Linked DNA regions of Macaca mulatta. The protein of the gene in region 1 interacts with the protein of each later gene in a biochemical or structural test. Links are inferred from orthologs where the notes say so. Each region holds a gene or a part of one and is shown in the gene's direction. Other genes may lie near its edges. The genes, in order: SORBS1 and FLOT1.

What was found.
Region 2: the proteins of SORBS1 (region 1) and FLOT1 form a complex in vitro, tested with the Homo sapiens proteins (2 studies listed by BioGRID). The link is inferred for Macaca mulatta from reciprocal best matches to the Homo sapiens genes SORBS1 and FLOT1.

What each region holds. Positions count from the first base shown.
Region 1 is NC_133414.1:107,350,714-107,366,448, reverse strand, and holds part of SORBS1 (sorbin and SH3 domain-containing protein 1), read left to right. Parts: intron 1-3,040; coding exon 3,041-3,087; intron 3,088-7,864; coding exon 7,865-7,979; intron 7,980-8,132; coding exon 8,133-8,258; intron 8,259-10,246; coding exon 10,247-10,441; intron 10,442-12,272; coding exon 12,273-13,046; intron 13,047-15,735. UniProt on the Homo sapiens protein: Plays a role in tyrosine phosphorylation of CBL by linking CBL to the insulin receptor. Required for insulin-stimulated glucose transport. Involved in formation of actin stress fibers and focal adhesions.
Region 2 is NC_133409.1:152,306,019-152,321,753, forward strand, and holds FLOT1 (flotillin-1), read left to right. Parts: upstream 1-801; coding exon 802-844; intron 845-1,123; coding exon 1,124-1,199; intron 1,200-1,287; coding exon 1,288-1,378; intron 1,379-1,657; coding exon 1,658-1,801; intron 1,802-2,187; coding exon 2,188-2,307; intron 2,308-2,394; coding exon 2,395-2,490; intron 2,491-2,675; coding exon 2,676-2,828; intron 2,829-8,649; coding exon 8,650-8,831; intron 8,832-9,001; coding exon 9,002-9,047; intron 9,048-9,162; coding exon 9,163-9,300; intron 9,301-9,541; coding exon 9,542-9,706; coding exon of another isoform or gene 9,707-9,745; exon of another isoform or gene 9,746-9,915; intron 9,916-11,594; coding exon 11,595-11,624; downstream 11,625-15,735. Other genes in the region: TUBB (tubulin beta chain), read right to left, coding at 15,361-15,735. UniProt on the Homo sapiens protein: May act as a scaffolding protein within caveolar membranes, functionally participating in formation of caveolae or caveolae-like vesicles.

The sequences.
Region 1 (15,735 bases):
AGATCCTGTCTCAAATTAAAAGAAATTTGAGCCTGTCTCAAATTAAAAGAAAAAGGAAAGCTGGGGAAGAGAAGGAGACTCTAAAGTGATGGAAAAAAGAAAATCTATCAAGGAAGAAGCAAAAGTTAGCAAGTGTTAATTGCAAGGGAAAGATAGCCCTTGAGTCCTCAACGTTCCAGCTCCTCCTCAAAATGGCCCTTCTCAGAAGGCTCTGAGCATGGTTTGTCCTCACCGATAGTCCTGCCTGCTTGTAGGTAGAAGAAGATGGGAACAGGTAAAGGCGCTAGGGCTGCACACTTACACATGTACTTGATACATGCAAACAGAAATGCACCATGGGTGGAATAACCGTGGACAGAGGCAGGCAAACTCTGCTCAGTGAGCCTGCCTCCCTTCTAGAGCAAACTCTGACAAGTGCGTTAGCATCCCCCGGAGGGCTTGGTAAAATACAAACCCTGGATCCTATCTGCAAAGTTTCTGATTCTGCGGTGGGGCCTGAAAATTTACATTTTTAACAGTTTCCCAGGTGATATTGGTGATACCAGTTTAGAGACCACATTTTGAGAATTACTGCCCTAGAAGTTGACTGATGGACTTGAAAAAGTAGAGACCAACACATCCCAGGTGCACCACACTGTGTCAAGGCACTTCAGTCCCATTCAGTAGGACTGGGGTGACCACTGGTTCTGTGTAAGACCCTATGGGAGGCAGAAAGAACTCTGTCTGTGTGCCCTTGGGGAGCTGACAGTGGAAGAGTCTCCCTCTTACACAGTTATCTCTGTCCTATAGTAAGTAATACAATACTGTGAAAGCCAGAGGAGGGAAAGATGGATTCAGTCTTGGAGCTACAGGGAGATAAAGAGGGAGAGGATGCTGCTTTGTATAACTACCAGTGACTCACATACACGTCTCAAGAGTTTAATGGAATCAGTGAATTTTAACAGGCCTTCAGTGAAAAAAATCTCACCACCCCCCATTATTAACCTAAGTCCACTTACAAATTAATCATAAACTACAAATCTTTATAATTATATTGATTTAATTGATAGGAGATACTGTTTTGACAGAACTCAGTTACCAGAGTGTGAATGTGGTGCTGCTTTGGTATAAATTTTTTAAAGTTCACACAGCTCTACAGCTGGGTGACATGAGGTAACCTACTTCCTTGTGTTTTTCTATTGGAATCACTGTAAAATTCGTATCCTTATAATTTTGGTCATTTAGTTTTCTCTTGTAAACTTGTCATTTATCATTAACCCCACATCCGTTCTTTTCTTGTTCACCTGCAACTGAAATTATGCCCTTTGGTTACAGACACAAACACAGGTATTGAAATTGTGTGGCTTTAACTTGATTATAAGGTGATCATTCGCGTGGCCCCAGTATGTATGGTATAGATAGGTAGATAGATGGAAACATCAATGTGAAAATGCAAACTTTAATACCTGCGGAAGGCTAGGCACAGTGGCTCACACCTGTAATCCCAGCACTTTGGGAGGCCAAGGCAGGAGAACTGCTTGAACCCAGGAATCTGAGACCAGCTTGGGCAACATCGTGGACCCTATCTGTACAAAAATTACCCAGGCTTGGTGGTGCGTGCCTGTAGTCCAGGCTACTCAGGAGGCTGAGGTGGTAGGATCATCTGAGCCTGGGGAGTCAAGACTGCAGTGAGCCATGATTGTGCCACTGCACTCCAGCCTGGGCAACACGGCAAGATGCTGTCTCAAAAAAAAGAAAGAAATTCCACAGCCAGGCGTAGTGGCTCACGCCTGTAATCCCAGTACTTTGGGAGGCCAAAGTGGGCGGATCACTTGAGGCCAGGAGTTAGAGACCTCCCTGGCCAACATGGTAAAACCCAGTCTCTACTGAGAAATACAAAAGTTAGCCAGACATGGTGGCACATGCTTGTAGTCCCAGCTGCTCAGGAGGCTGAGGCAGAAGAATTGCTTGAACCTGGGAGGCAGAGGTTGCTGAGACCGTGCCACTGTACTCCAGCCTGGGAGACAGAGCAAGACCCTGTCTCAAAAAAAAGAAAAAAAAGAAAAGAAAAAAGAAATTTCAGAGAGAGGAGGGGATAGGAGGGGGTTCAGTTGAGGTGTAGCAAATAGATTTGACTGGAACAGGAACAGTGTAGTAGAGATAAAGGCAATTCGGTTAAGAGTAGGGAGAAACTACCCAGAGGCCTTCACCTATGGCAGGAATTGAGATTTGAACTGAGGGAAAGTTGAGAGCAGCAGCCAACTTCAAAGCAAGGAAGAGATGTGAGGAAGAATGTTAGGAATGTTATTTGTGCTCCCGGGTGACAGATTAGAGTGAAGAGAATGTGAAATCAAAGGAAGCTTTGTGTCAATGGGAACTAGGCGTCAGCTTTGAGCAACAGGGTTGCGGAGGGATGGAGGTGTGGAGGGAGGTCCCTCCTGACTTAATGACACACTTGATCAGGAAGTGGAGAAGGGGCGGAGGCTGACTCGGACCTGGGCATCTGGGAAGAGAGGACTACCCAACAGGATTGGAAGTCTTGGCAGGAGTCATTTGAGCTCAGGGACCACTTTATCTGGCTTTTTGGATGAGGTCACAGACCGTAAGAAATATATGGAGTTGGAGATGATGTGAGAAGTGAGTCGGCGTTTCATCTACTTGCATATCATAATTTAAGCAAATAAATGTACCTAAGGAATAAGACAGTAGATAAGGAACATCTTAGGACTTCTGGCTGACTTTGTCTTTTGTTTGTTTGTTTTTTCAATAGCCATGGTCTGCATGTTTTGAGGAACTGGTACCTCAGCTTTGGGACCTTTCTAACCATCTCTTCCCCAGATCTGGTTGTTTTTAGGGGATTCTCATGCATGACATACATAGTTAACTAAACATTTATCTAGTATTCTACTAAGGTCAGACAAATGTAATTTTGCCCAGATTTCTACACTAGAACAAACTGGCTAGAGTGAATTTCTCTGCTTTGCTTTCTAGAAATTTGTGAAAATGTGTCCTTGTTGTACCTGAATCCTGATTTTAACTTGTCATTGTTTCTTATGTTCAGATGAGACCTGCCAGAGCCAAATTTGACTTTAAAGCTCAGACACTAAAGTAAGTGCTACCAGTTATATTTATTTATCTTTTTAGCTGTCTCTTTGAAACACAACAGTTTGTTTGTAGAGAAGAGTTGGAGAAATAACAATTATCAAAATTGTTGTTAAAAAAAAAAAAGAACAAAACAGTAGTTCATAGAGTTTGCTATGTGCCAAACACTATTCAGAGTACTTTGCATATGTTAACTCATTATGGAGTGGGTGCTGTGATGATCCCCACTGTTCAAATGAAAAGGCCAAGGGACTATAAGGTTAAGGAACCTGCTCAAGCTGGTGTGAGAGAGTTGGAATTCAAACCTAGGCAGAGGTTGGGCTCTTATACCCTGTCCCACCCTGCCTCCTCCTATGTAGGGGCTCTATTTGCTTATGTGGTGGCTTGATCTGACCCATCTTTTCTGTGGAAGGATCTAGACCAGTCTCTAGGGAGATAACTTTACCCATTTTGCTACAACATCCCAAGAGATTAAAGGCTTACATGAACCCACCGGAGACTAGCGTTTCTCTAAGTGTGTTCCTCAGAGTGCTAGCCCTATAAGATTTTTCTCAAAAAGGGAGTTCTGTTGTAGAATGAGTTGGGAAACAGTGCATGCTATATCTATACCTCCCACCCACTTTGAAGAAATACTTTGTTGATGGCATGTTAATAGCTCCAGAAGTCTTTCAAGAAAAGAACCTGAAACACGATTTGGGAAATGCTACCAAAGACTGGGTTCCATAAGGAAACAGCTGGCTTTTTATCTAATTATGGATTTAAATAGTCCATGAGTTCTCATTGGCAGCTAAAAGTACAATGGACAGTGGCCACCCCATTGTCCTGCAGATGGACGGTCATGCATCTGGTGATCAGAGGGAGAGCTCCCTGTCCTTAGATGCTGGGAAATGCTATGTGGAGCTAACCAACCATGGTTCTGATCTCCTCTATCCCACAAAATGAGTGACCAGGCCACAGTGTCTAGAACCTAGTCACAAATCTGGTATAGTTGGGTTTGTGTGTATTACTCCAGTCCTTTAGTTGGTCAGCTAAAGGAGGTGGCTGCGTACCATACTGCAAAGATTGCGAGCTTTAGAGTCAGGAAGTCCTGTGTTCAAATCCTGACTATGCCACTTACTATCTCTGTGAGTGTAGTCAAGTTATCAACTTCTCCCCCACTCAATTTTCTTTATCTGCAAGATACGGGTAAAAATGCCTCTCTTTCAGGGAAGCTGGGGTAATACCTGTAAAACATTTTGCGTAGTGTACCAAAATTTAGTGCTCAAAATATATTATCCTCTTACCCCCCTTTTTTTAAACCAGACAAGATAACAGAGATATATAAATTAATTTGCAATTTAATTAATACACTTTTTCTTTGAATTGAGAAAGGTCTATGTAAGATTTATTAAATGGTCTAGTGATGATAATAGTACATTTTCCCAGATTTCATAAAGAGTCTTAAAACAACTTTTTTTTAGAGCAACCCCGTCAAATAGAACAGGTGAGAAAGCTTAGATCCACAGAAATTGTCACCTTTTATCAACATTGCTAATGCCGGAGAGAGGTTTCCTTCCTTCTGATTCCGTGTTTTCATCACGACATGCTGCCTCCAAAAAAAGTCCACAAAATTTAGTGAAAAAAGTAAATTCTAGCTCCATGGTCTTTTAAGCCCTTCAGTCACTTGGTTTTACATTTCCCCGCAGTCAGTTACTCAAAAAAGCATGCTGCCGGGGCCAGGCGTAGTGGCTCATGCCTGTAATCCCAGCACTTTGGAAGGCCGAGGCTGGCAGATCACTTGAGGTCAGGAATTCAAGACCAGCCTGACCAACATGACAAAACCCTGTCTCTACCAAAAAATACAAAAATTAGTCGGGGCGTGGTGGCAAGTGCCTGTAATTCCAGCTACTCAAGAGTCTAAGGCATGAGAATTGCTTGAACCCAGGAGGTGGAGGTTGCGGTAAGCTAAGATCACGCCACTGCATTCCAGCCTGGGGAACAGAGTAAGACTCCGTCTAAAAAATTTTAACAAATAAAAAAAATAAAAAAAATAAAAAGCATGTTATGGAATACTTGGTTCAACAAAGTTAAACAAGTTTCTTTCCCCTGGGTCTTCTCAGAGCCTCTGCTGTGCTGATGTACACTGTGATGCTCAAAAAAAGATCTAAAGCGAATCATATTTCTCAAACCCTCTCACCAGCAGACCTGGTCGCATGGTTCTTTGGGAGCTAGGAGTATAGTCCACAGTAGTGGCAGAATAGGGCCCCAGGTTTCCCATGGTAGACTTCCATCAGCCACAACTACTGACCCCTCAGTTCCTCTCTCACACACAAGTGTATCCTTTGCTTAACAGTAGGACCATTACGCTCCCGCCCCCCTCCACAGCTGCAAGATACTTAGTATAGTAGAGTCAGGAGCCTGCAGGTCTCCACAGCAGTGAATATGCTGAGGGTCTTGCTCATCTATGTGACTGTGGTTGGGGGTAAAGGAAGAGGGAATTCATAATGCCCGCCAAAGAGGGCTGTGGCAAAAATGTGGCCCGAGACATTCCTTCTCACAGAGACAAATGCCCACATCCCCTTTACAGACCTCTTGAGGGTTAGAATCCTGTTTGCTAATGTGAGACCCACAAAGGCTGCCTTGTGCTTTTATTCAGCACAGAATTGACTTTCTATAGTTTTCCAGATGTGCCCTCATTGTTCGGCCAGCACCCCTCACATACCGTGGGACTTCCTGGCATCCTGCAAAGTGAGCACACCCCTTCCAAGTTACAATTGGAGACTTTTCCATCCTATTGGTTTGACACAAATGAAAAAGATCTAGGTCATTTTTTTTAATTCAAGAAAATGTTACAATTTTAAAATTATTTAATTCAAGAAAAAGTTGTAAGGGCCAGGCGCAGTAGCTCACGCCTGTAATCCCAGCACTTTGGGAGGCCGAGGCGGGCGGATCACCTCAGGTTGGGAGTTCGAGACCAGCCTGACCAACTTGGGGAAACCCCATCTCTACTAAAAATACAAAATTAACTGGGCCTCGTGGCCCATGTCTGTAATCCCAGCTACTGGGGAGGCTGAGGCAGAAGAATAGCTTGAACCCGGGAGGCAGAGGTTGCCGTGAGCTGAGATCACACCATTGCACTCCAGCCTGGGCAACAAGAGCAAAATTCTTGTCTCAAAAAAAAAAAAAAAAAAGAAAACGTTCTAATTTTTATCCTTAAGTTTTCATTTTGTTTAAAATTTGCCTTTGTCTAACTTTTTTAAAAAAAGAGTCCTGGTTAAAAATTAACATCATCTGGGCCAGGCGCGGTGGCTCACGCCTGTAATCCCAGCACTTTGGGAGGTCAAGGCAAGTGGATCATGAGGTCAGGAGTTCAAGACCAGCCTGACCAACATGGTGAAACCCCGTCTCTACAAAAAAAAAAATTAGGCGGGCATGGTGGTACATGCCTGTAGTCCCAGCTGCTCGGGAAGCTAAGGCAGGAGAATTGCTTGAACCTGGGAGGTGGAGGTTGCAGTGAGCTGAGATTGCACCACTGCACTCCAGCCTGGTGACAAAGTGAGACACTGTCTCAAAAAAAAAATAATAATAATAATAATAATAACATCATCATTATTAAGGCAAACAAAAGAATGGATATGGAAAAGTTGCAAAGGGGCACAAAGAGCATTTGAAGGAAAATCTACTTTTCTTTCCAACATCACTTTTCCATGTTAAAAAGCAAAGGAATTAGGCCGGGCGCGGTGACTACATGCCTGTAATCTCAGCATTTTGGGGGAGACTGAGGCAGGAGGATCACTTGAGCCCAGGAGTTCAAGACCAGCCCGGGCAGCATGGCAAAACCCCATCTCTACGAAAATATATATGTAACAATTGGCCAGGCATGGTGGTGCATGCCTGTAGTCCCAGCTACTCAGGAGGCTGAAGTAGGAGGATCACTTGCGCCCAGGAGGTTGAGGCTGCAATGAGCCGTGATCATGCCACTTGCACTCCAGCCTGGGCAGCAGAATGAGACCTTGTCTCATGAAAAAAAGTAATGGAATTAACATTTATTTATTGAGTGTTACCTACCTGTACAACAGGCACCATCCTAGCTGTTTATTTTTAGTTTGTTGAAGCATTCTCCAGCAACTCTGAGTTAGCTCCAAGTTCAGCTAAAGAAACAGTGTCTCAGATTAAGTATTGTGTCCCTGGTCCCAGAGCTACTAAATTTCAGAACTGGGTTTTGGACCAGATCTGCCTAACTTCAGAACCTTTCTACTGCATGATGATACAAAGACGGATGGTAAAATGGATGGGTGGACAAATGGTGAAATTGATGGAATGATAGAAGGATGCCAATATATCACAAATAATTTGAGGGCAATTTAAAGCAACGAAAGCATGTCCTGCTAGGGCATAGTAGAGGATAGTGAAGGTATCCAGAAGGAGACGCTTTTCTTCGTTTAATAAACATCAGTTAAGGCAGCTGAGTGCATTGTTGTGTGTTGCATAAATATTCTGAGCATAAGACAACATTCACAAAAAATGCATTTAGAAAACCACAACAAATTAATAAGGCCTCTGAGCACTTTCAAGGGCTAGTCAATTTGAATGTTAACATCCATCCTGCAAAAGACTGGAAAAATGCCAAACGTGATGTAATTTCCTGAATAGTGGGGTTCTTACTTCCAAATATGGAGTCCCCTCTCTGGAATTTGTACCCTTTGACCCCACTTAAAAGTCTTCTTTTGCTACAAAACTGAAGTGTCTTAATCTTACACATACTGAAACATCTGCTAAAATGCCGTTGACCCTCTGTCGACAGGGAGCTTCCTCTGCAGAAGGGAGATATTGTTTACATTTATAAGCAAATCGATCAGAACTGGTATGAAGGAGAACACCACGGCCGGGTGGGAATCTTCCCACGCACCTATATTGAGGTACCGCAGCCCCTTTTCTTTCTAAGGAAAAGCCTGACTGTGCCCAAAGCACCATTTATTTACTAAATGCTTATGTTTTGTTTCCTCCTTTTCCTCTTGTTTCCCTGCTTTCTTCTCTTCCCTTGTTCTCTTTTACCTGTTTCCCTTTCTCAGCTTCTTCCTCCTGCTGAGAAGGCTCAGCCCAAAAAGTTGACACCAGTGCAGGTTTTGGAATATGGAGAAGCTATTGCTAAGTTTAACTTTAATGGTGATACACAGGTAGAAATGTCCTTCAGAAAGGTAAGCTGCCCTTCTCATGCCTTGCTTTGGGGCTCTCTTGGATGGCACAGCTATGTGGGGAAGTGTGGTGTTGCTATCACATCCCAGTCTGGGGGTGCTATCTGTACCCTTAAGAGAAGTATGCTAATCAATAATTGCATTAAGGGCTGGGCACGGTGGCTCACGCCTGTAATCCCAGCACTTTGGGAGGCCGAAGTGGTTAGATCACTTGAGGTCAGTTTGAGACTAGCCTGGCCAACATGGTGAAACCCCGTCTCTACTAAAAATACAAAAATTAGCTGGGCATGGTAGTGGGTTCCTGTAATCCCAGCTACTCAGGAGGCTGAGGCAGGAGAATCATTTGAACCTGGGAGACAGAGGTTGCAGTGAGCTGAGATTACTCCACTGCTCTCCAACCTGGGCAATAGGGTGAGACTCTATTTCAAAAAAAAAAAAAAAAGAATTGCATTAAGGCTTGTAATCCCAGCACTTTGGGAAACCAAGATAGGAGGCTCACTTAAGGCCAGGGGTTCAAGACCAGCCTGAGCAACATAGCAAGACCCCATCTCTATTGAAGAAAAAAGCTAAAAGAATTGCATTAAGGGCAATTGGAGAATTTTCTGAGGTAAGGTATTTTTAAAATAAACCCTAGGCTAATGTCAGGGTTTAACTGTATTGAGCTCACTGATTAAAGATAGTATTTCTGGAGTCTTAGACATCTTTTATAAGCTGTTTTCAACCAACACTTACCAACTAATGATGTGATAATGCACTGTGTTGGGGACTGGGTTTTACAATATATTGGTGTGATCTAGTGGAAGAAACAGGTGCATTGATACCAGGAGAAGTTTGAAAAGCTTTGAACCCAAAAGGCACAAACCAGCTGTGCAGAATGTGGGAGTTAAATACTTTTTCCAAGCCACTATTTTCTTATAGAAAATAATGAAGATAGATGGCTCTCCCCTAGGTGGTTGTAAGAGACTTAGGTGAAACAGCTTATGTGAAGCCCCCAGCATGACACATGGTATCTGGTTTGTGCTTAGTAAACAGGAGATGCCAGTATTATTATCATCACCGTCATGCTTATTCAGACGCAATTACACTGTGCAGAGAAGTTCTTCTTTCCAGAATCCAAACACTCTACCTGGCAAAATTCTCTGGCTTCCTAAAGTTACTAAGTTACTGATTTTATTGAGGATTGAGGGAAGTGAGCACATGGGTTAGAAAAAGATGAACCATCTTATGTAACACTGGAAGCAACCCAATTTGCCCCACAGCAGGGGATCAGTAATTAAATCATTATATGTGTGTGCAACAGAATACCCTGCAGTGGTCCATTAAGCTGTGCAATGCCATTAAAAATCTAGAATTCTATTTTTTGATAAAGAAGGAGGTTTACTATGTACTATTAAGTATTTTTTAAAAAGCAAGTTGGAAAAGTTTGGAAACACAGTTTATACTCAATTTTTATAAGAAAAAATATGTGAGGTTTAATTCACATGCGTAGAAGTAAATCTGGGAAGTCCATATGCCAAATATTAATAGTGTTTATCCCCAAATGACTATGTGATGGGTGAAGATTGTTTTCTGCTTTATGTTTGTGTTCTGATTTTTCTATAATGATACATTATAAGTATTTATAATTCTACAAAAGAAAGAAAAAGAGAAACCCCCCAAAATCTTTGCCTTAGAGATGAAGATTGGATATCTGTTTCACATTAAATGAGTCAAAAACACTATATTTGTTCCCTGGCTTAGGGGCACAAATCTGATGTTCTCCTTTACTAAAATACTTAAAGAACCAAGGTAAACTTCCCAGCATCAAGGTAGCTCCTCTGCCATTAGCATCCTCATCCCAGTGGTGGTAATTCCCTCCGGGTTCAGCAGGGAATGTTTTTGCTGAGCTAAGAATGTGGTAAACAATGCAGGACATTGAAGCATGCAGGCAGAGGCCCCAGGCATGCAGAGGCATGCTAGGACAAGGACCCTGTCTTTGCTGTGTCTTCCAGGGTGAGAGGATAACACTGCTCCGGCAGGTAGATGAGAACTGGTATGAAGGGAGGATCCCAGGGACATCCCGACAAGGCATCTTCCCCATCACCTACGTGGATGTGATCAAGCGGCCACTGGTGAAAAACCCTGTGGATTACATGGACCTGCCTTTCTCTGCCTCCCCAAGTCGCAGTGCCACTGCAAGCCCTCAGGTATCTAAGCTTCTCGTCACTGGTTTTCATACTCAGCGTGTGAGTTTTCTTAGTCAACAGTGCTGTTGGCACACAGCCTCTCTGGGGAGGTTTTTGAGCACTGCAATTAAAAACTGTCTGCAGGAGGCCGGGTATGGTAGCTCACACCTGTAATCCCAGCACTTTGGGAGGCTGAGGTGGGTGAATCACCTGAGGTCAGGAGTTCGAGATCAGCCTGGCCAACATGGTGAAACCCTGTCTCTACTAAAAATTCAAAAATCAAAAAAAGATGGCGGGCGCCCATAGTCCCAGCTACTCGGGAGGCTGAGGCAGGAGAATTGCTTGAACCCGGGAGGCGGAGGTTGCAGTGAGCTGAGATCACGCCACTGCACTCTAGCCTGGGCGACAGAGTGAGACTCTCAAAAAAAAAAAAAAAAAAACTGCAGGAAAGCAGACTGTACACTGGACTTTGTCTTCATGCATACAAATGGCCTTTTCCAGTGCTTGGTTGAAGATATATTATCTCAGAGGAAAAGAAAGAGTCAGATAATTGCTCTGGGAATAAAGTGACTAGGGAAAGAGAAACAAGAGCCTTTATCAGTTGGTCCCTCCTGGGTGAAGCTGTTGGTGTGGGGACCACCGCTGTGTCATAAATCCCATGGTCCAAATGTGGTCCTCAGTCATCTTGGCCAAAGTTGGCCTGCAGAAGACAAAGGCTGAAAGAGAGACTTACACCTTCTTCTCGTCAGCCACGTAGACCAGGTCCAAAGTGTTTGCATTCACCGGAACCAGGTTGACTGGAACAAGTAACTTATAGCATTCAGTCTCAGTGGGCTGAAAGGATGTAGGTTTATAGGCATGGTAAGATGTTGGCTCTCCCAAACATTAATTATGAATAAACTTGTTTAGAAACATAAACTATTCCAAACTGATCCCCACTTTCCCAAAGCCAAGAAAATGTCAGAACCTTGAGTTCAGGGTGATATGGTGGGGGTGACATCCTGTGAAAAAGTCCAGCCAAACCACCATGTATGTTGTAAGGAGGTTGGCAGAGGAACAAGAGTAGGACCTGGGGGCCCAGGTTGACCCTGAGATGATGCCTCTTGTCTAGTCCTCTAATTGTTTCCTCCTCTGACACCTGCTCATCACTGACCCCAGTAGAGGGTTCTTGGCAGAAAGCATTAAACAGGCTGACCCAGGGCTTCCTGCACAGTGACAGCCGCATCCTGTTGTCTTATAAGACAGGGTGTGTGACTGGGGCGGGACATTCTGCTTTGTAAGGATGCAGAGAACTCAGCTACATTTTTCACTTGACTGTAGCCAAGAGTGATTGTAAAACAAAACTAGTACACTACTCATACTCCTTTCTGGAAGACTCTGCTGAGCTCCCAGAGAAAATAAAACCTCAGGGAAGGGCCATGGCAGTGCGGGGCCACCTTTCCCCATGGTTCCGGGTCAGGGATCTGGATGCACAGGGGCTGGGGGGCTGGGATAGGGAGCTTCCAGTGGGTCCCTTTGAAACTCCAATTCTGCAAAGCAGGCTGGCCTCATCCGTCACTACTCTGATGGGAACCTCTCTCCATCTCCACACCTGTGGCTGCTTCCTCCACCCACTGCCTGCACACATCAGGCTCACGTTCGCACATGCTCACACGCACACTCACCCATCCTGGTTTCTCCCCAGATGTAACCCAAGGATTTCCTTTTTGGACACCAGAGTGTCCTTGCGCATCCTCTCCATTTCATTCCTCTTTATATACCCCTTGTGATTATTTTCCTTCTTTTTCCTTTATGCTGACACTTGTACCTTTTGCTTCTTTCTTTTGTTTTCCTCTCTCTTCTTCTTTTTAAGTTTTCCAGTCACAGCAAGCTCATCACGCCAGCACCCTCATCTCTGCCCCATTCCCGCCGAGCCCTGTCCCCTGAGATGCACGCCGTCACCTCTGAGTGGATCTCGCTGACTGTGGGGGTCCCAGGCAGGCGTTCTCTGGCCCTGACCCCACCCTTGCCTCCTCTGCCAGAGGCTTCTGTCTATAACACTGACCACCTCGCCTTGTCACCAAGGGCCGGTCCCTCCCTGTCTCTCAGCCTCCCCCATTTGAGTTGGTCAGATCGTCCCACCCCACGGTCAGTAGCTTCTCCACTGGCCCTACCTTCCCCACACAAAACCTACGCCCTAGCACCCGCTTCCCAGGCCTCCCTTCACATGAATGGAGACGGTGGTGTCCACACGCCATCTTCAGGCATCCACCAAGATAGCTTCTCGCAGCTGCCACTGGGGAGCTCTGATAGTGTCATCTCCCAGCTTAGTGATGCCTTTAGCAGCCAGAGCAAGAGGCAGCCATGGCGCGAAGAGAGTGGACAATATGAGAGGAAAGCAGAGAGGGAGGCAGGCCAGAGAGGCCCTGGCGGACCCGAGATCTCTAAGAAGAGCTGCTTGAAGCCTTCAGACGTGGTCAGGTGCCTGAGTACTGAACACAGACTCTCAGATCTCAACACCCCTGAGGAGAGCCGGCCCGGCAAGCCCCTGGGTAGCGCTTTTCCAGGAAGTGAGGCTGAGCAGACAGAGCGGCATAGAGGTGGCGAGCAGGCGGGGAGGAAAGCTGCTCGGAGAGGTGGGAGCCAGGTAGGACTGCAGCATGCCGCGTGTGCACTTGGCGTCTCACTTGGCAGGGTGGGCTGCACGTCTCGCCCCGGTCCATCTACGGAGGCCAAGTGAATGCTGGTGAGACCATTTGCTTGCCTCGGGAGCAAAGAGATGGCCCCGGAGGGAATGGGGGGACATGAATTCAGGTGCCAGGGCTGGATACAGTTGGAGGGAAAGGACAGGCTGTATCTGACCACTTGAGGTCATTCGGAAGTTATCTCTACTTTGAATGCCTCCTGGCCTGCTGCAAGGGCCTCTGAGAAGGCAGACCTTCCTCACGTCCCACGTATGCCTTGGAGATGACCCTCGGTTTGCTTTGACTAACACAGCTGAGAACACCAGGCTTTGGTGTGGTGGTGTGGTTTGCTTTTATGTAAGATGCACTTTGTTTCCATAACCCATGGTGCTCTGCTAGTGCTCGGTTCTGTCAGGTCTTTGTCCTGTCTCGTGTTTGTGTGGGCGCGCGGGGCCTTTGTTTGCCACGCAACAAAGGTGTTTTGGTTCTGGAGAGGAGAATGCAGGTCTCCTGGGGCCCTGACTGGCATGGGGTATCCTTGAGTAGGCATGCCAGGTTTTTGGGTGAGTGTCCCATCTTCTCTCTGGGTCAGCTACAAAGAGTGCAGCATTTGGGCAAAGGTAGCCTTAGGGTGTTTTGAGACCTGAAAATTTTTTTGGAGACATGAAATTAGCAACTAAACAAATCACAATTCTGATTTTGGCTATGCTGTTTACTACTGCTAAAGTCAAAGACTTAAGCAACTCCTCTGAAGCAACCAGGTTTGAATGCCAGCTCCACCTCTTACTGTCTAGTGACTTGGGAGTTACTTCCGCTCTCTGAGACTCAGTTTCCTCATCTGTAAAATGGGGATGATAGCACCTACGTCAAAGACTGGTTGAGTACAAGGGCTTATGATCCTGGGAACATGGTCAGCACTTTATAAATGGAAGTGATAGAGCCACCATCTTGGGTGATCTAGAACTGCTTCTAGAACTGAGAATATTCTTAGAACCTCCTTAGATCCAGATCGAGTTCCTGAAGATGTCTGCAAGCCATTTATTAAGTATCTAGTATGTATGATGTCCACAGTAAATAGTGCTTAACCCTTAGACTTGCAACCTCAGTTTCCCTTTGAGGCTGTAGTTATTCCGTCTATGAATAAGACCTGCAGGTAGCAGCCTCTGGGCAGAGTACAAGGGTCATTTGTCTCTCCTCTTGAGGACCCTAAGTTCAAGCCTCCTCAAAACAAGGAGGAGCCTACAAACATAGCAATACCACCAGGGCAATAATAGAGGCATGCTTGGGGGACACAGGAGCACAGGGGCTTGAGACACACTAGGCCAGACTTCCAGCTCCAGCCAAGCACATGTGGGCCCATGGGTGGGCCAGCACATCAGGAGTAGAGATCACTGAGGGTGAGCCAGGATGGGGTAGTTTATAAGAAATGAGGCTTAGTCTTTTGCTAGAAAGCCATTTAACCTCTCACATGCAAAATAGGAGTGGAAGCAGTCTATCGCTTGTAGGGCAAGGATTCAATGAGGTAATTAACGGAAGTTGGTGCTTGGCACGTGCCAAGGCTCCATATGTGGGATCTCCCGCTGCTGTGTGGGGCCGTAGGAAAGCAGCAATACCTGGCAAAGGCTTTGCCTGGCCCTGGAACAGGTTGAGGAAAAAATAGAAGAGGTGGTAAAGTGGCTAGCTGAAAAGAATTAAACGTCTCTGACACAGGAATAATTCTATAAACGTTCTAAGTCAACCCAAGGCACGCGAGGACATCCTTATCGTCAGTGTTGAGTCATCATCCCGGCCCAATTCCAAGATCCTGTGTGTATAGGAAGTGCGCACGGTGCCGGATCTCCGAGTAAGGTTAGGGGTATACGCTTCCTGCTTCCTAAGGCAGGATAGGAGTGGAGTAGCTGGCAACACTGAAGATTATGTTGATTGGAAAGTCAGGCTTGTTGAAACTTGGTGTTCCTTTCTTGGTGGGTCTCCAGACCCCAAGTGTACCACTTCCTGTCCCCTCCCTTCCTTCTGACCTCCTGGCACAAGCCCCTTTTCCATGGGTGTGCCCAGGCTGTGGCCTGGGGCTCGCTCCCCCTTGAGAGCTGGCATTTGTGTGAAAAGGGCTGCTCCCGCACCTCCCCTTTAGCCGCCTCACTTTCCCCTCCTGTGGCTGGAGCAGGAGCTGACAACTCTGGAAACGGGGTCCTTCAGAAGAGGCTCCTGTGTCTTGGGCCCCCTTTGGGTGACAGACATGCTAAAAATGGGAAGGACTTATATGACAACTGTTCTCTGGCAGCCCCATCAGAATGACGTGACCACAGGCTGTTGCTTATTTGGAAAAATGCATTCCAGACCAGTTTGCGTATCAAGAGAACTGTCAGCCATTATGATCCTTGCTGAACTAAAGAGCTGAAACAAAAGTTCACTTTTATTATAGGTATTGGGGAGGTAGGTTGAGAATCTGACCAATAATGAGAGGGAATTTTACCTGAGAACCTTAAATGAAAAGATATTCTGAAATGTTATGATCATTTACTCTTTGAAGCATTTGGGATATTTCAGGCAGTTTGCTGCGAGAGACAGAGAGGGGCGAACATCATCAGGGCTTCCATTTAGATGTAGCTTCTAGGAAGCTGTTGGGGCCAAGGGAAAGTTTCCCTTTTGTCC
Region 2 (15,735 bases), on another chromosome or scaffold:
AGGTAGTTGCCCCGCGGCGAATCCGAGATGTGGCAATCACCCTTACGCCAGGGTGCCGGGCCGCGGAGGTCAAGTCCCGCGCCCGGGGGCGGAGCGTGGAGCTGTGTCGCCCGGCTCAAGAAGGGCGGTGATTGGGGCGGCAGGGATGTGGCCGCCCCTGGGCTAACCAGGCAGCCCGGCTGGGCCCGGGAGCCAACGGGTGGGCCGGCTGCGGACTCGAGCGGGGCCTGCCGGGAAAGGGGCGGGCCAAGCTCACAGGGCCGAGGCGGGGCGAGGTGGGGGTGCTTAGTTTGCTGCGGGGGGCGGGGTCGCGGCTGCAGCAGCAACAGGGTGCGGCCGGGTGGGTAACGCGGGAGCGGACCCAGGAAGGCTGGTCCGCTACCGGCCCCTGCTCGGCTTGCAGGTCCCTGCGCGCCCCCGCCCTTCCCTAGACCCCAGCCGGGCCGCCGCCGGTGTCCAGGAAGGTGAGTGGGGGAGGGGAGATGGAGCCTGGGGCTGCCGAGAGGCAGGGAGGGAGGGGAAAGATCTTCAGGCCTCTGGGCGCAGGGGACCTTTATCAAAGGGAGCGGCGAGGGGAAGGGAGGGACCGTACGCAGGCGGGGAAGAGGTCGCTGGGGATCTTCAGGATTTTGCAGGGAAAAGCTTTAGCGGACCCATGGGTGCGGAAGGGACAGGCTGTGGCGGATGCAGACTGAGAGGGCCTGACGGGAAAGGGAAAGGATGGGCCCCTGTGGACGCCACAGCGCCCCTTCCCCATCCGCAATGGCTTTCCCTCCCTCTCCTCCAGCTCCAGCCTGAACCATGTTTTTCACCTGTGGCCCAAATGAGGCCATGGTGGTCTCCGGTAAGTACTGTTGTACCCTTCCCAGCCAGTGACCCCAGAACCCCTGTGAGTCTGGCCTCTGCCCCTTCTCCCTCTCCCTACCAGCTTCCCAGCCCCAGACTTCTGCCCCTTGATGACCACGAACTGCCCAGTTTGATTCCCACCATTCCAAGGCCCAGATTGCTTCCCCTCCAGCTCCCAGATTCTCTCCTGTGGGTTGCTGTCCCCTAGCCCCCGCCAGTTCCTCAGTCTTCCACATTCAAGCTCTGCCACAGTTCCTCACTGCTCCTCACTTTGCAGGGTTCTGCCGAAGCCCCCCAGTCATGGTGGCTGGAGGACGAGTCTTTGTCCTGCCCTGCATCCAGCAGATCCAGAGGTAGGCAAGAAGGGAACCAGGGAAGGGGAACCTCCCATTTTCTCTTTTTCCTCCTTTTCTTACTGTCTGTCCCTTCTTTTTCCCCTAGGATCTCTCTCAACACACTGACCCTCAATGTCAAGAGTGAAAAGGTTTACACTCGCCATGGGGTCCCCATCTCAGTCACTGGCATTGCCCAGGTGAGGCTTTCAGAGCCTTTTCCCCAAAGTCTACTTCCCCATCACCCTCTCACCCAGACATTAAGACATCTTCTGGCCACAGCCTTCTCGATCCTTGCCTGCAGAGAAGTTCCTCTGCTAGTCTCATCTTTTCCAGGCACCCTCAAGGCACTTGCTGCCTCCTCCTTTCTTTCCCTGAAATGGAAGAAGCATTTCTTTGAGGGCTCTCCCTTCTCTCTGCTTCTTCTCTGACTTCATGAGGCCCCCACCACACCTTTCCTACCCCTACTCTGGCTACAGGTAAAAATCCAGGGGCAGAACAAGGAGATGCTGGCGGCCGCCTGTCAGATGTTCCTGGGGAAGACGGAGGCTGAGATTGCCCACATTGCCCTGGAGACGTTAGAGGGCCACCAGAGGGCCATAATGGCCCACATGACTGTGGAGGTTGGCCTGGGGGCAGGGAACCATCTGGAATGATGCCAAAATGAGGGGGACCCAAGGACCACACTAGTCTGTGACAGACAGTGGATCTAAGAGCTTACATCCCGGCCGGGCAGGGTGCTTCATGCCTGTAATCCCAGCACTTTGGGACACCAAGGCGGGTGGATCACTTGAGGTCAGGAGTTCAAGACCAGCCTAGCCAACCTGGTGAAACCCCATCTCTACTAAAAATACAAAAATTAGCTGGGCATGGTGGTGGGTGCCTGTAATCCCAGCTACTTGGGAGGCTGAGGCAGGAGAATCGCTTGAACCCAGGAGGTAGAGGTTGCAGTGAGCCAAAAAAAAAAAGAAATCTTACATCCCCTCTCCCCACCATCCTGTTATCACAGGAGATCTATAAGGACAGGCAGAAATTCTCAGAGCAGGTTTTCAAAGTGGCCTCCTCAGACCTGGTCAACATGGGCATCAGTGTGGTTAGCTACACTCTGAAGGACATTCACGATGACCAGGTAAAACTGGGCAATTGATCCTTCCCCACTTCCTTGCTCCCATCTCTTAAGCCGTCCAAGGGACTAATTTCTACATCTCTCCCACAGGACTATTTGCACTCTTTGGGAAAGGCTCGAACAGCTCAAGTCCAAAAAGATGCACGGATTGGAGAAGCAGAGGCCAAGAGAGATGCTGGGATCCGGGTGAGAGAGATGGGGGTTGCTTAGTGGGAAAGGGGATAGAAGTGGCACAACTGAGAAGAAGCAGGGGTGCTGGGTTAGCAGGGAAAATACTTGAGGCAGACAGAGAACCTTGGTGGGAAGCAGGCTCGCACTGTGGCCTTTCTCCCACTGCCCTGACATTTCCTACCTGATCTCTGCTTGGACAGGAAGCTAAAGCCAAGCAGGAAAAGGTGTCCGCTCAGTACCTGAGTGAGATCGAGATGGCCAAGGCACAGAGAGATTACGAGCTGAAGAAGGCCGCCTATGACATCGAGGTCAACACCCGCCGAGCACAGGCTGACCTGGCCTATCAGCTTCAGGTCAGAGCCACTGCACTGGGCAGATGGCCAGGCTGCTCTCTGCCCCTTCCCCATTCCTCTCAGGCTGTCCGTCTCAGGAACCACCACTTCTCATATTCTAACTCTGATCTTATTCTGGCTCTCCATCAGTGGACCAGCTCCCCTATATGAGGAGAGATTTAAAAGACTCAGATGTTACAGCTGAAAAGCTTTAAAGAAAAGGCCAGCTGGGTGTGGTGACTCGTGCCTGTAATCCCAGCACTTTGGGAGGCCAAGGCAGGCTGATTGCTTGACCTTAGGAGTTCAAGGCCAGCCTAGGCAACATGGTGAAACCCTGTCTCTACAAAAAATACAAACATCAGTCAGGCATGGCGGCTCGGGCCTGTAGTCACAGCTACTTGGGGGATGAGGCAGGAGGATTGCTTGAGGCAGGAGGATCGCTTGAGCCAGGATGTGCAGGTTGCAGTGAGTCGAGATCACACCACTGCACTCCAGCCTGGGTGACAGCGAGATCCTGTCTCAAAAAAAAAAAAACGAGAAAAAAAAAAGACCAGGAGCGGTGGCTCATGCCTGTAATCCCAGCACTTTGGGAGGCCAAGGAAGGTGGATCACAAGGTCAAGAGTTCGACACCAACCTGGCCAACATAGTGAAACCCCGTTTCTACTAAAAATACAAAAATTAGCCAGGTGTGGTGGCACGTACCTGTAGTCCCAGCTGCTTGGGAGGCTGAGGCTGGAGAATTGCTTGAACCCAGGAGACGGAGGTTGCAGTGAGCTAAGACCATGCCATTGCACTCCAGCCTGGTGACAGAGTGAGACTCCATCTCAAAAAAAAAAAAAAAATTCAAGAAGGGATATGATCAGTAAAGCTGGTCATATGTTTGGAGCAGACTGTGTCTGTGCAAGGGTATCTGACTGAGAAAATGGATCCGAGCTCAGATCCGGCCCATGCCCCTCTAATCAAGCAGTGCTGACATGGGTCTGCATCTACACAGAGGAATTTCTAATTTGCACAGAGGCATGCTGTGGGCTAACAGCAGCCCTGGTTAATCAAAAAAGGGTATGAAGAAGGAAAACATGGACTTGGACATTGAATCCTGCAAAGTGAGATATGGGCAGCCCTTGATATTGCCAGGAGATATAGTTGATCTTCATTCTTCATTATTTGTATCTGAGAATTTGCCTATTCACTAAAATGTGTTGGTAACCTCAAAAGGTTACCAGTAAAGTCGCTGCACTTTCAGAATCATTTGCAGACACGCACAGAGTGGTGAGATAGCTGAGCCACCTGATGTGCAGTGCCCAGGTGAGGTTCAGCAAGGAGATGCTCTGCCGCCTTGTTTCAGCTCTCATATCATAAGCCATGTTATTTTCGCAGTATATTTACTGCCATGTTTTTTGCGTTTTTGTGCTTTTTCTTGGTGATTTCGCTCTTTAAAATGGCCCCCAAGCATCAGTACTGGAGTGCTGTCTGGTGTCCTGTAGTGCAAGCAGGCTATGATGTGCCTTATGGAAGAAATACATGTGTTAGGTAAGCTTCGTTCATGCAGGAGTTGTAGTGCTGTTAGCTGTGAGTTCAGTGTTAATGAATCAATAATATAGTTTACATAAGGTGTCTTTAAACAGAAACACATATAAAGCAAGGCTTTATATTGATCGGTTGATGAAAATGTTGTGACCAGAGGCTCACAGAAACCTAGCCCTGTATTTCTTCTAGGAACAAATTAGGTACTAATTCAGCATTCATGACTACTTCATAGAACAGAACTACCAAGAATAATGAAAGTCAACTGTACTTTGAGACCTTTACCCAAAGGATAGCAATGTTATGCATTTTGTTTTTGCCAAGAGTTGGTACAGGCTGAAAGCATTATGAAGGTACAAAACATCTTTTGTTATTATGTTAAATTCCTGGGTGACTTGACAGGTTGAGCATGGCATAGAGCTTGGCAACTCAAACTGTGTTCTACCTAGCAGCAGCTACAGCATCATTGCAAAGCTTGTTCGAAATACAAAATTGCAGGCCCTGGCCCTCATCAACTGAATCAGAACCTGCATTTTAACAAAATCTTGAGGTGAATTCCTAGGTGATTTGTATGCACATTGGAGTTTGAGTTTGAAAAGGATTACCATAATGGAAACTGCTAGCTTGCAGTAAAGCTATGGATAAGGTTCTTAACCTTCTAAACATGACCTTACTTGTCTGCAGATTAAGAGATTGGGCTGGTTGGGCTCTTTTCAACTTTTATCAGTTTCTTCTTACGCACCAGGCACTGTGCTAGGTGTTCAGGAAAGGATTTATTCAACAAATATCTGTTAAGTGCCTCCTGTGTGCTAGACATCATTTTGGAGGTGAGGCTGTAAATACGAATGAGACAGAAAAGATTCCTGCCCTTATGCAGCTTACATTATGACACAGGAAACAGCTAGTAAGCAAGTAAATGACCTTCCCAGGCTATAATTCTTGTTTACGTGCTGTGAAGGAAATAAACAGGGTGATGTGAAAAACTGTGGGAGGGGAGTTATTAGGTTAGCGGGTGGTCAGAGAAAGTTTCTAAAGGCCAGGTGCGGTGGCTCAAGCCTGTAATCCCGGCACTTTGGGAGGCCGAGACGGGGGGATCACGAGGTCAGGAGATCGAGACCATCCTGGCTAACACGGTGAAACCCCGTCTCTACTAAAAAATACAAAAAAACTAGCCAGGCAAGATGGCGAGCGCCTATAGTCCCAGCTACTCGGGAGGCTGAGGCAGGAGAATGCCGTAAACCCGGGAGGCGGAGCTTGCAGTGAGCTGAGATCTGACCACTCTACTCCAGCCTGGGCTACAGAGCGAAACTCCGTCTCAAAAAAAAAAAAAGAAAAAAAAAGAAAGTTTCTATGAGGAAGTGGTGTTTGAGATCAGACCTGTAGATAAGAAGGAACAGAGTTCTGGGCCAAGAACATTCTAGCCTGTACTTTTTAAGTAGTCATATGTGGCTGGGCGCGGTGGTTCATGCCTGTAATCTCAATACTTGGAGAGGCCGACACAGGAAGATCACTTGAGGCCAGGAGTTTGAGACCAGCCTGGCCAACATGGTAAAACCCTATCTCTACCAAAAATACAAAAAATAGTAGCCGGGTGTGGTGGTGTGAGCTTGTAATTCCAGACACTCGGGAGGCTGAGGCATGAGAATCACTTGAACCCAGAAGGTGGGAGTGAGATCGCGCCACTGCACTCCAGCCTGGGTGACAAGCGAGACTCCTTCTAAGATAGATAGATAAATCGATCGAGACTCTGTCTAAGGTAGATAGATAGATAGGGCTAGTGGCTAGGCAGGAGGACCAGTAAGTGCAAAGGCCATGAGGTGGAGACAGAAAGGAGGTTTCTGATCTGAGGAGGCTGGTGTGCTGTGAATGAGGAGGAAAGGCTGACGGCCAGATCACAAAGGGTTTGTGTGGTCATGATGGAGACATAGAAGAGAATTGAAAGCACAGTGGAAAGCTATTGGAGAACCTCAATCAGAAAGGTGCCATGGTCTTATTTATATTTGTATAGGGATCAGTCTGGTTGCCTTGTGGAGAATGGACTGTATGAAGAGAGGAAGCAAGGCCAGGCGCGATGGTTCACGCCTGTAATCCCAACACTTTGGGAGGCCGAGGCGGGCAGATCACGAGGTCAGGAGATCGAGACCATCCTGGCTAACACGGTGAAACCCCATCTCTACTAAAAATACAAAAAATTAGCCAGGTGTGGTGGCGGGCGCCTGTAGTCCCAGCTACTCGGGAGGCTGAGGCAAGAGAATGGCATAAATCCGGGAGACGGAGCTTGCAGTGAGCCGAGATAACACCACTGCACTCCAGCCTGGGTGACAGAGCAAGACTCTGTCTCAAAAAAAAAAAAAAAAGGAAGTAAGAGATGAGTTGGGCTCTTTTTCAGAGATGATGGATTAAACGAATGTAGCTAATTTTACTCTCTCCTAAAACCTCACTAAAGCCAAAATGATTTTTTTTAAGATAAAGACAGAGGCTGGTCCAAAGGTAGTGAGTTATCTCAATTGATTGTTCAGTCAGTTACAGATTGAACTCCTTGTTCTGCTCTTTACCTACTTCTCACTACTGCACTTGACTAGTCTTTCTTCCTCTCTTTCCTTCTCTCTTCTCTCCTCTCCTCCTCTTTGAGACTGAGTCTTACTCTGTCCACCAGGCTAGATAGAGCGCAGCGGTACAATCTCAGCTCACTATAGCTTCAACTACGAGGCTCAAGCGATACTCCCACCTCAGCTTCCCGAGTAGCTGGGTCTACAAGCATATGCCACCACACCTGGCTAATTTTTGTATGTTTTGTAGAGATGGAATTTCACCATGTTGCCTAGGCTGTTTTCAAATTCCTGGGCTCAAAGGATCCTTCCCACCTCAGCCTCCCAAAATCCCAGCATTTTGAGAAACTGAGGTGGATGGATCACTTGAGATCAGGAGTTCAAGATCAGCCTAGCCAACATGGTGAAACCCTGCCTCTACTAAAAAAAAATACAAAAATTAGCCAGACGTGGTAGCATATGCCTGTAGTCCCAGCTGCTTGGGAAGCTGAGGCAAAAGAATAGCTTGAACCTGGGAGGTGGAGGTTGCACTGAGCCAAGATCACGCCGCTGCACTCCAGCCTGGGCAATAGAGCGAAACTCTACCTAAAAGAAAAAAAAAAGAAAATAAATAAATCTGCTTAAATAAGAGGAATTCTATGAATACACACATTCTTGTAGATGTTCAGAGTATCCCTGGAAGGATACACAAGAAGCTGGTCTGGGTGGCTACTTCTGGGAAAGGGACCCACGTGGTTTGGAGAATGTAGGAAGAAGCTTTCTCGTGGTTTACTTTTTTTTCCTGTTAAATCTGCACCATATGCAAAAGACAAAAAAGATCACGTGTCCCCACCCCCACAAAAAATAAGTCAGCTATTGCAGTAGCCTAGGCTAGCACTAAGGTTATTCTAGCAACAGTGGGGGGATTTGAGCAAGACTGGAGATAACAGAAGGCCACCATGTGCTCAGTGCCCTCCAGGTATTTATACTCTAGAAGGGGGCACAGGTGGGAAAAATAGATTAAACAGGAGCTCATCAGAGGAACACTGGACTCCACTGGGCTGGCCAAGCAGGAGGGGACCCACCTTCATGTACCTGCTCCTATTTTTTTTTTTTTTGGGAGATGGAGTCTTTTTTTATTTATTTATTTATTTTGAGTCTAGTTCTGCCGCCCAGGCTGGAGTGCAGTGGCGCGATCTCGGCTCACTGCAAGCTCCACCTCCCGAGTTCACGCCATTCTCCTGGCTCAGCCTCCCGAGTAGCTGGGACTACAGGCGCCCACCACCGCGCCCGGCTATTTTTTGTATTTTTAGTAGAGACGGGGTTTCACTGTGATCTCGATCTCCTGACCTCGTGATCTGCCCGCCTCGGCCTCCCAAAGTGCTGGGATTACAGGCGTGAGCCACCGCGCCGGGCTGGAGATGGAGTCTTACTCTGTTGCCCGGGGTGAAGTGCAGTGGCGTAATCCCGGCTCACTGCAACCTTCACCTCCTAGGTTCAAGCAACTCTCCTGCCTCAGCCTCCCAGGTAGCTGGGACTACAGGTGTGTGCCACCACACCTGGCTAATTTTTTGTATTTTAGTAGAGACAGGGTTTCACCATGTTGACCAGGCTGGTCTTGAGCTCCTGAACTCAGGCAATCCACCCTCCTTGGCCTCCCAAAGTGTTAGGATTACAGGCGTGAGCCACCGCGCCCGGCCACCAGCTCCTATTTTTATATCCCACTCTGGAGCTCTGGTTCCGGGGCACTTCCTCTTCACTTCTGACTCAGAGCGCCCCTCCTACCCAGGTGGCCAAGACTAAGCAGCAGATTGAGGAGCAGCGGGTGCAGGTGCAGGTGGTGGAGCGGGCCCAGCAGGTGGCAGTGCAGGAGCAGGAGATCGCCCGGCGGGAGAAAGAGCTGGAGGCCCGTGTGCGGAAGCCAGCAGAAGCTGAGCGCTACAAGCTGGAGCGCCTAGCCGAGGCAGAGAAGTAAATGTCCCCTTCCTGACCCTTCCTAGCCCACTTGCCACCTAGGCACCCCAAGATGGAGGGCTGAAGCCTTCACCACCTGGACTGCTATGGATTTTAGGTTTCAGGAACCTCTGCCTTTGCAACACTGAGTCCCTGGGCTGCACCCTCCACTTTCCTTCTGTCCACAGGTCCCAACTAATTATGCAGGCGGAGGCAGAAGCTGAGTCGGTGCGGGTGAGTTAAGATGCAGCTCCTGCTGGCTTGTGGAGAGGGTGGGGGTTGCTGCTTGAGCTGGGATTTCTTGTTCTTAATGATTTCCGTCAATCTCACAAGCATCCTTAACCCTCAGATGCGTGGGGAAGCTGAGGCCTTTGCCATAGGGGCCCGAGCCAGAGCCGAGGCTGAGCAGATGGCCAAGAAGGCAGAAGCCTTCCAGCTGTACCAAGAGGCTGCTCAGCTGGACATGCTGCTAGAGAAGCTGCCCCAGGTCTGGAGGTTGTGTGGGCACCAAGAAAAGAGGAAATAGAACCAGGGACTAAGGGGTGGGGTGAAATGAGGGGCTTAGGGAGAACCAGGCTAGGGGGACCCTAAATTAGGGGTGGGAATTATTAGTGGCCAAAGTAAGGAAGGATGACCAATGGAACGAGGACCTTAAAACCCAGGGTAAGTTGTTTTATGAGGAGTGTGGTCAGATCATGGGCACTGAGTGGGCATCTCTCTCCTGCCAGGTGGCAGAGGAGATCAGTGGTCCCTTGACTTCGGCCAATAAGATCACACTGGTGTCCAGCGGCAGTGGGACCATGGGGGCAGCCAAAGTGACTGGGGAAGTACTGGACATTCTAACCCGCCTGCCAGAGAGTGTGGAAAGACTCACAGGCGTCAGCATCTCCCAGGTGAGGTCTCAGGTTGGAGCTGAGGAGCAGAATTGCTAGGTTCCTGTGTTGTATAACGCAGCAGGCGTAGCATTTCGCCAGCATCCAGGCCTGGGAGTCACTGATGTTTATTAATCACTTTCTGTGTGCCAGACACGGTGCTAAGCTTCTACATAAATGAGTTGTTTTATATACCCTTAGGGTATATAGGGTTTTACAAAGTCAAGAAACTGAACTTCCAGCATGTTCCTACTCATTCTGCTGGTGCAGCTGGAGTGAAATCTAGGTCAACTGTCTCTGCAACCTGTGCTTGTGGTCACCCCACTAGTATAGGGAACTAGTTGCAGCCTATTGACAGTTAATTAATTCCAGGGCATATCACTGCTTTTCTTGGTTCCCCAGTTAATTCACCTGTAGATCATGGTCGAGGTCAGCAAACAGGCTCTGGAACCACTGTTTTGTTAATCCTAGCTACAATGCCTGCTAGCTGTGATCTTGGACAAGTAATCAACCTCTCTATACCTGTTTCCTCACCTTAAAATTGGGTTAATAATTAGAAACTACCCTGTTGAATTGTTGAGGGGCTCGAGCAAATATTTGCAGTGTTTAGAATAGTGCCTGGTGTATAGTAAGCATTATGTGTATGGTAAAGAAATGGTGCCGGGTGCAGTGGCTCATGCCTGTAATCCCAGCACTTTGGGAGGCCGAGGTAGGCAGATCACCTGAGGTCAGGAGTTCGAGACCAGCCTGGCCAACATGGCGAATGAAACCCCATCTTTACGAAAAATGCAAAAAAAAAAATTTGCCAGGCTTGGTGGTGTCTGCCTGTAATCCCAGCTACTCGGGAGGCTGAGGCAGGAGAATTGCTGGAACCCAGGAGGCGGAGGTTGCAGTGAGCTGAGATTGCACCACTGCACTCCAGCCTGGGTGACAGAGCAAGACTCTATCTCAAAAAAGAAAAAAAGAAGCCAGGCACGGTGGCTCACGCCTGTAATCCCAGCACTTTGGGAGGCTGAGGCAGGCGGATCATGAGGTCAGGAGATGGAGACCATCCTGGCTAACATGGTGAAACCCTGTCTGTATTAAAAATACAAAACAGCCAGGCATGGCGTTGTGCGCCTATAGTCCCAGCCGCTGGGGAGGCTGAGGCAGGAGAATGGTGAGAACCTGGGAGGCAGAGCTTGCAGTGAGCCAAGATTGCGCCACTGCACTCCAGCCTGGGTGACAGAGCGAGACTCCATCTCAAAAAAAAAAAAAGAGAGAGAAAGAAATGCATATTTGGACTGGGCGCTGTGGCTCATGCTTATAATCCCATAACCTTGGGAGGCCAAGGTGGATGGATCAGCTGAGGTCAGAAGTTTGAGATCAGCCTGGCCAACATGGTGAAACCCCATCTCTATCAAAAATACAAAAATTAGCCGGGTATGGTGGCGCATACCTGTAATCCCAGCTACTCGGGAGGCTGAGGAAAGAGAATCACTTGAACTCAGGAGGCGGAGGTTGCAGTAAGCCAAGATTGCACCACTGCACTCCAGCCTGGGTAACAGACTGAGATTCCATCTCAAAAAAAAAAAAAAAAAAAAAAAGCATATGTAAATAAAAGCCCTGGATCATACCGATGACCTTCAAACTGGGTTCCTTGGAGCCTCCTGGAGGCCTGCAGTGGAATATTCATAGCTAAGGAGAGTGCAAACAAGGCTCTGCCCCTTCTCTTCTCTTGAGTGATTTATTGTATGTGGATCCTGATGTCTTTGTTTAGGGAAACAGGATGAGGTAAGGCACCAGAAAGAAGACTCCTGGCCGTGTGTGTTCTCCCTATAGCCCATTCATCTAAATGGGGGCCCAGGAGAGCAGGGGCCTCAACCTCCCAAATGTTCCCAAGTGTCACCTGCTGTTGTCTTTTTGCCAGGTGAATCACAAGCCTTTGCGAACAGCTTGAGCCTTCAGCCCTCACAGATGCCCAGCCTCATAGCTGAAGTTGCCTGAATGATCCTCCTGTTGCATGTAATCCACTGGCCTCCCTGAGCATGTCCATTGACAGTGAGGTCCCACCCCTCATCTCTCCTTGCCAAATAGTTTGTGCCTTGTCTTGAAGGGGGTTGCTCCCCTTGCCAACCTCACACTGCTATGATTGCCAACTCCAGTGGTCCCATGTCAGCCTTCTGATGATCCCACTCCACCCCATCTCAACTTATTTAATTCCTAATTAAATCAGACTGTTGGAGCCTGTTGTCTAGAATACTTTCCTGACCAAGACTGAAGGATGTGCTGGAGGTTTTCAACTTTGCTACCCAAATAAATTGCTATAAGTAAGTACTGATACTTATCAACAATTAATAAAACAGAAGCAACTGGAAATGAATGCTTGGCCCGGCATGGTGGCTCACATCTGTAATCCCAGGACTTTGGGAGCCCAAGGCAGACAGATCATCTGAGGTCAGGAGTTTGAGACCAGCCTGGCCAACATGGCGAAACCTTGTCTCTACCAAAAATACAAAAATTAGCCAGGTAGGGTGGCACGTGCCTGTAGTCCCAGCTACTTGGGAGACTGAGACAGGAGAACCACTTGAACCTGGGAAGTGGAGGTTGCAGTGAACCAAGATCACACCACTGCACTCTAACCTAAGCAACAGAGTGAGACTGTTTGAAAAAAAAAAAAAATGAATGCTAGAGTCAGGTGTGGTGACTCTTGCCTGTAGTCCTAGCTACTTGGGAGGCTGAGGTGGGAGGATCACTTGAGCTCAGGAGTCTGAGGCTGTAGTGAGCCGTGATCGTACCACTGCACTCCAGCCTGGGTGACAAAGCAAGATCCTGGCTCTATTAGAAAGAAAATGAACGCTAGAATGTAGCTTCCTCCTTTGCATAAAATAGGCTTTCTAGAATGGGAGAAAAGCAAGTTACTTATATACTGTCAAGAGTTTTAGAGTTAATTTTTCCCAACAGTGTATTATAGTCAGAAAAGCATGCTAAAATAGAAGGACTGTTGAGAATAGTATTAGTTCCCAGAATTCCTGAAAATATGGCAAAAGGAATTATTGTTTTCAGGGTAGCTTTGAGACTTGCATTGAGAACTTAAAAGTATGAGGTATGAGGTAGCAGATGGTACAGATTGTTTTAGAATGGGACTGTAAGGTAGCATTCCCGACTGTCTTTTTTTTTTTAAACACAGGTCTTGGGCCGGGCGTGGTGGCTCATGCTTGTAATCCGAGCACTTTGGGCCTGGCACAGTGGCTCATGCTTGTAATCCCAGCACTTTAGGAGGCTGAGACGGGTGGATCACTTGAAGTCAGGAGTTTGACCAGCCCTGGCCAACGTGGTGAAACCCCATCTCTACTAAAAATACAAAAATTAACCTGGCGTGATGGCGGGCGCCTGTAATCCCAGCTACTTGGGAAGCTGAGGCAGGAGAATTCCTGGAACCCCGGAGGCAGAAGTTTAGTGAGCCAACATCGCGCCAATGCGCTCCCCCCGGGCAACAAGGCAAGACTCCATCTCAAAAAAAAAAAAGACAAGGTCTTGCTGTCACCCAGGCTGGGGTGCAGGGGTACGGTCAGGGCTCATTGCAGCCTCACCCTCCCACCCAACCCCCACCCTGGCCAACAACCACCACCCCCTACCCCGGTAGATGGGACTACACGCATGCGCCACCATGCCCAGCTTTTTTTTTTTTTTTTTTTGGTTAGATGGTTCACTGTTGCCCAGGCTGGTGCGGAACTCCTGGGCTCAAGCCATTCTCCTGCCTCGGCCCCCCAGTGCTGGGATTACAGGTGGGAGCCACCATACCAGGGCTTCACTAGTTATCTTGGTGTCACAGGTTGACTAAGCCTATAGGATCACAAGAAACGGCCGTGGGTACACATAACCCAAAGGAATCCTGGGCTGAGTGGCCAAGGCCAGTTCAACCATTTCTGGTTCAGTACATCTGGGTGGGACAAAAAACTTCCATTTATTTCTGCAAGTTTCCAGAGGATGTGGATGCTGGTCTGGAAACCAGTTACGCATGACTTGTCATTCTTCTCAGCTTCCATTTTCCAGCCCTGGATCCTGTATCTAAGCCTATGCCTTCCCCAGTTAAGACTCATTGGTGGACCTGGTGCATTGGCTCACCTGGCTCATACCTACAGTCCTGCTGCTTGGGAGAATGAGGATTGCCCGAGCCCAGGACATCAAGGCTGCAGTGAGCTGTCAGACTCCATTAAAAAGACTGACTGGTGCTGAGAACAGTTTGGGTACCAGAGATAATGACGTGAGGGTCTATTCAGTAGTGTCCTTACCAGTACCTCCCTGAAATATCAAATCGGCAGACGCCCAAGTCCCTCATATAAAATGTAGTATTTGCATATAACCTGTGTACTTTAAATCATCTCTACATTACTTGTAATACCTAATCTAATGCAAATATTATGTAAATAGTTTATACTATTATTGTTTAGGGAATAATGAGAAGTCTATATATGTCCAGTACAACTATTTTCCCAATATCCAGTTGGTTGAATCCATGGATGCAGAACCCATAGATGGGACAGGAACTTAATATTGTGAAGTGTCAATTTAAGGAGAGCAGTGCACCTGAACTCAGGCCCCAGGCCTCCATCAGCAGTGTTTCCCTAAATAAGCACACATCTCGTAGCTTTTTTCAATTCCCATTTATTTTTGGCTCTTGGGGCGATGTCATCTTTTCAATATGAAAAAAAGCAGCAAGTTCAACACAAAATAGAAATCTCAAATGTAGGAAAGAACAAAACTAAGTGTGTGTGGGGGGAAGCAACAGCAAAATGAAGAAATGAGATGTTGCAAAAAAAGATGGAGGGTTCCCCTCTCCTCTGGGGATTGACTCAAACACTGATGTGGCAGTATACACCATTCCAGTCAGGGATGCTTGTTCTTTTTGGGGGATAAGAAAAGATGGGGATTCAGAGGACGTTTCTGGAGGCTTAGGGACCAAGGCTGGTCTCTTTCCCCCCGGCCCTGCCCCCGCCCCCGCCCCCTTGATGCCTTTCTCTGATCAGGGGAAAGGAGTTCGAATGAGGGAGGTAGAGTTGGAAAGGGAAGGATTCCACTTGACAGAGTGGGTCAGACCCCTCCAAAGAGTAGAGCTTGGAGGGAGATTGAAAGTGGAGATAATACTGCTGACACCTCCCTTGAAGCTGAGATGGTAAATGGACATACTTGGAAATTAGTGACTTTAATAGCCTGGATTTCCCTCTCCAAAACTTAGAATGGAAAATCCCATCCCCTCCCTTATATAGTGACTTCTACCCACTACCTTCTACCACTTTCTACTTTGGGCTTAGGATGGTGGCCATTATCTACATGGGTTTTCAGCACCTGGTTGGTTCTAAATGGGATCTGGATGAGACCCAGCGTCTTGGAGATTTTTAAGAGGGAAATATTAACTGGACAGATGGAAGGAATGGGCACCAGAAGGAAATACAGGGTCACCAGAATGGCAGAAACCTAGGTTTCCCAGAGTGGAAAGAGAGAGGAGACATTCAACAAACAAGTATTTATTGAGTGCCTACTATGTGCTAGGCACTGTTCTAGACCCCCCCCCCCAGAAGAAAAAACAAAAAACAAGATAGAGGCAGCAAACACAAATTCTGAGGGAGAGGAAAGGGGCAGTTGAGTAAGACGGCTAAGGGAACTGAGAAGCCTGAGGTGATGGGGGCTCTGCCTTAGGCCTCCTCTTCGGCCTCCTCACCGAAATCCTCCTCCTCTTCTGCGGTGGCATCCTGGTACTGCTGATACTCAGAGACGAGGTCGTTCATGTTGCTCTCAGCCTCAGTGAACTCCATCTCGTCCATGCCCTCGCCTGTGTACCAGTGGAGGAAGGCCTTCCGGCGGAACATGGCAGTGAACTGCTCCGAGATGCGCTTGAAGAGCTCCTGGATGGCCGTGCTGTTGCCGATGAAGGTGACTGCCATCTTGAGGCCACGAGGTGGGATGTCACAGACAGCTGTCTTGACGTTGTTGGGGATCCATTCCACAAAGTAGCTGCTGTTTTTGTTCTGCACGTTAAGCATCTGCTCATCGACCTCCTTCATGGACAT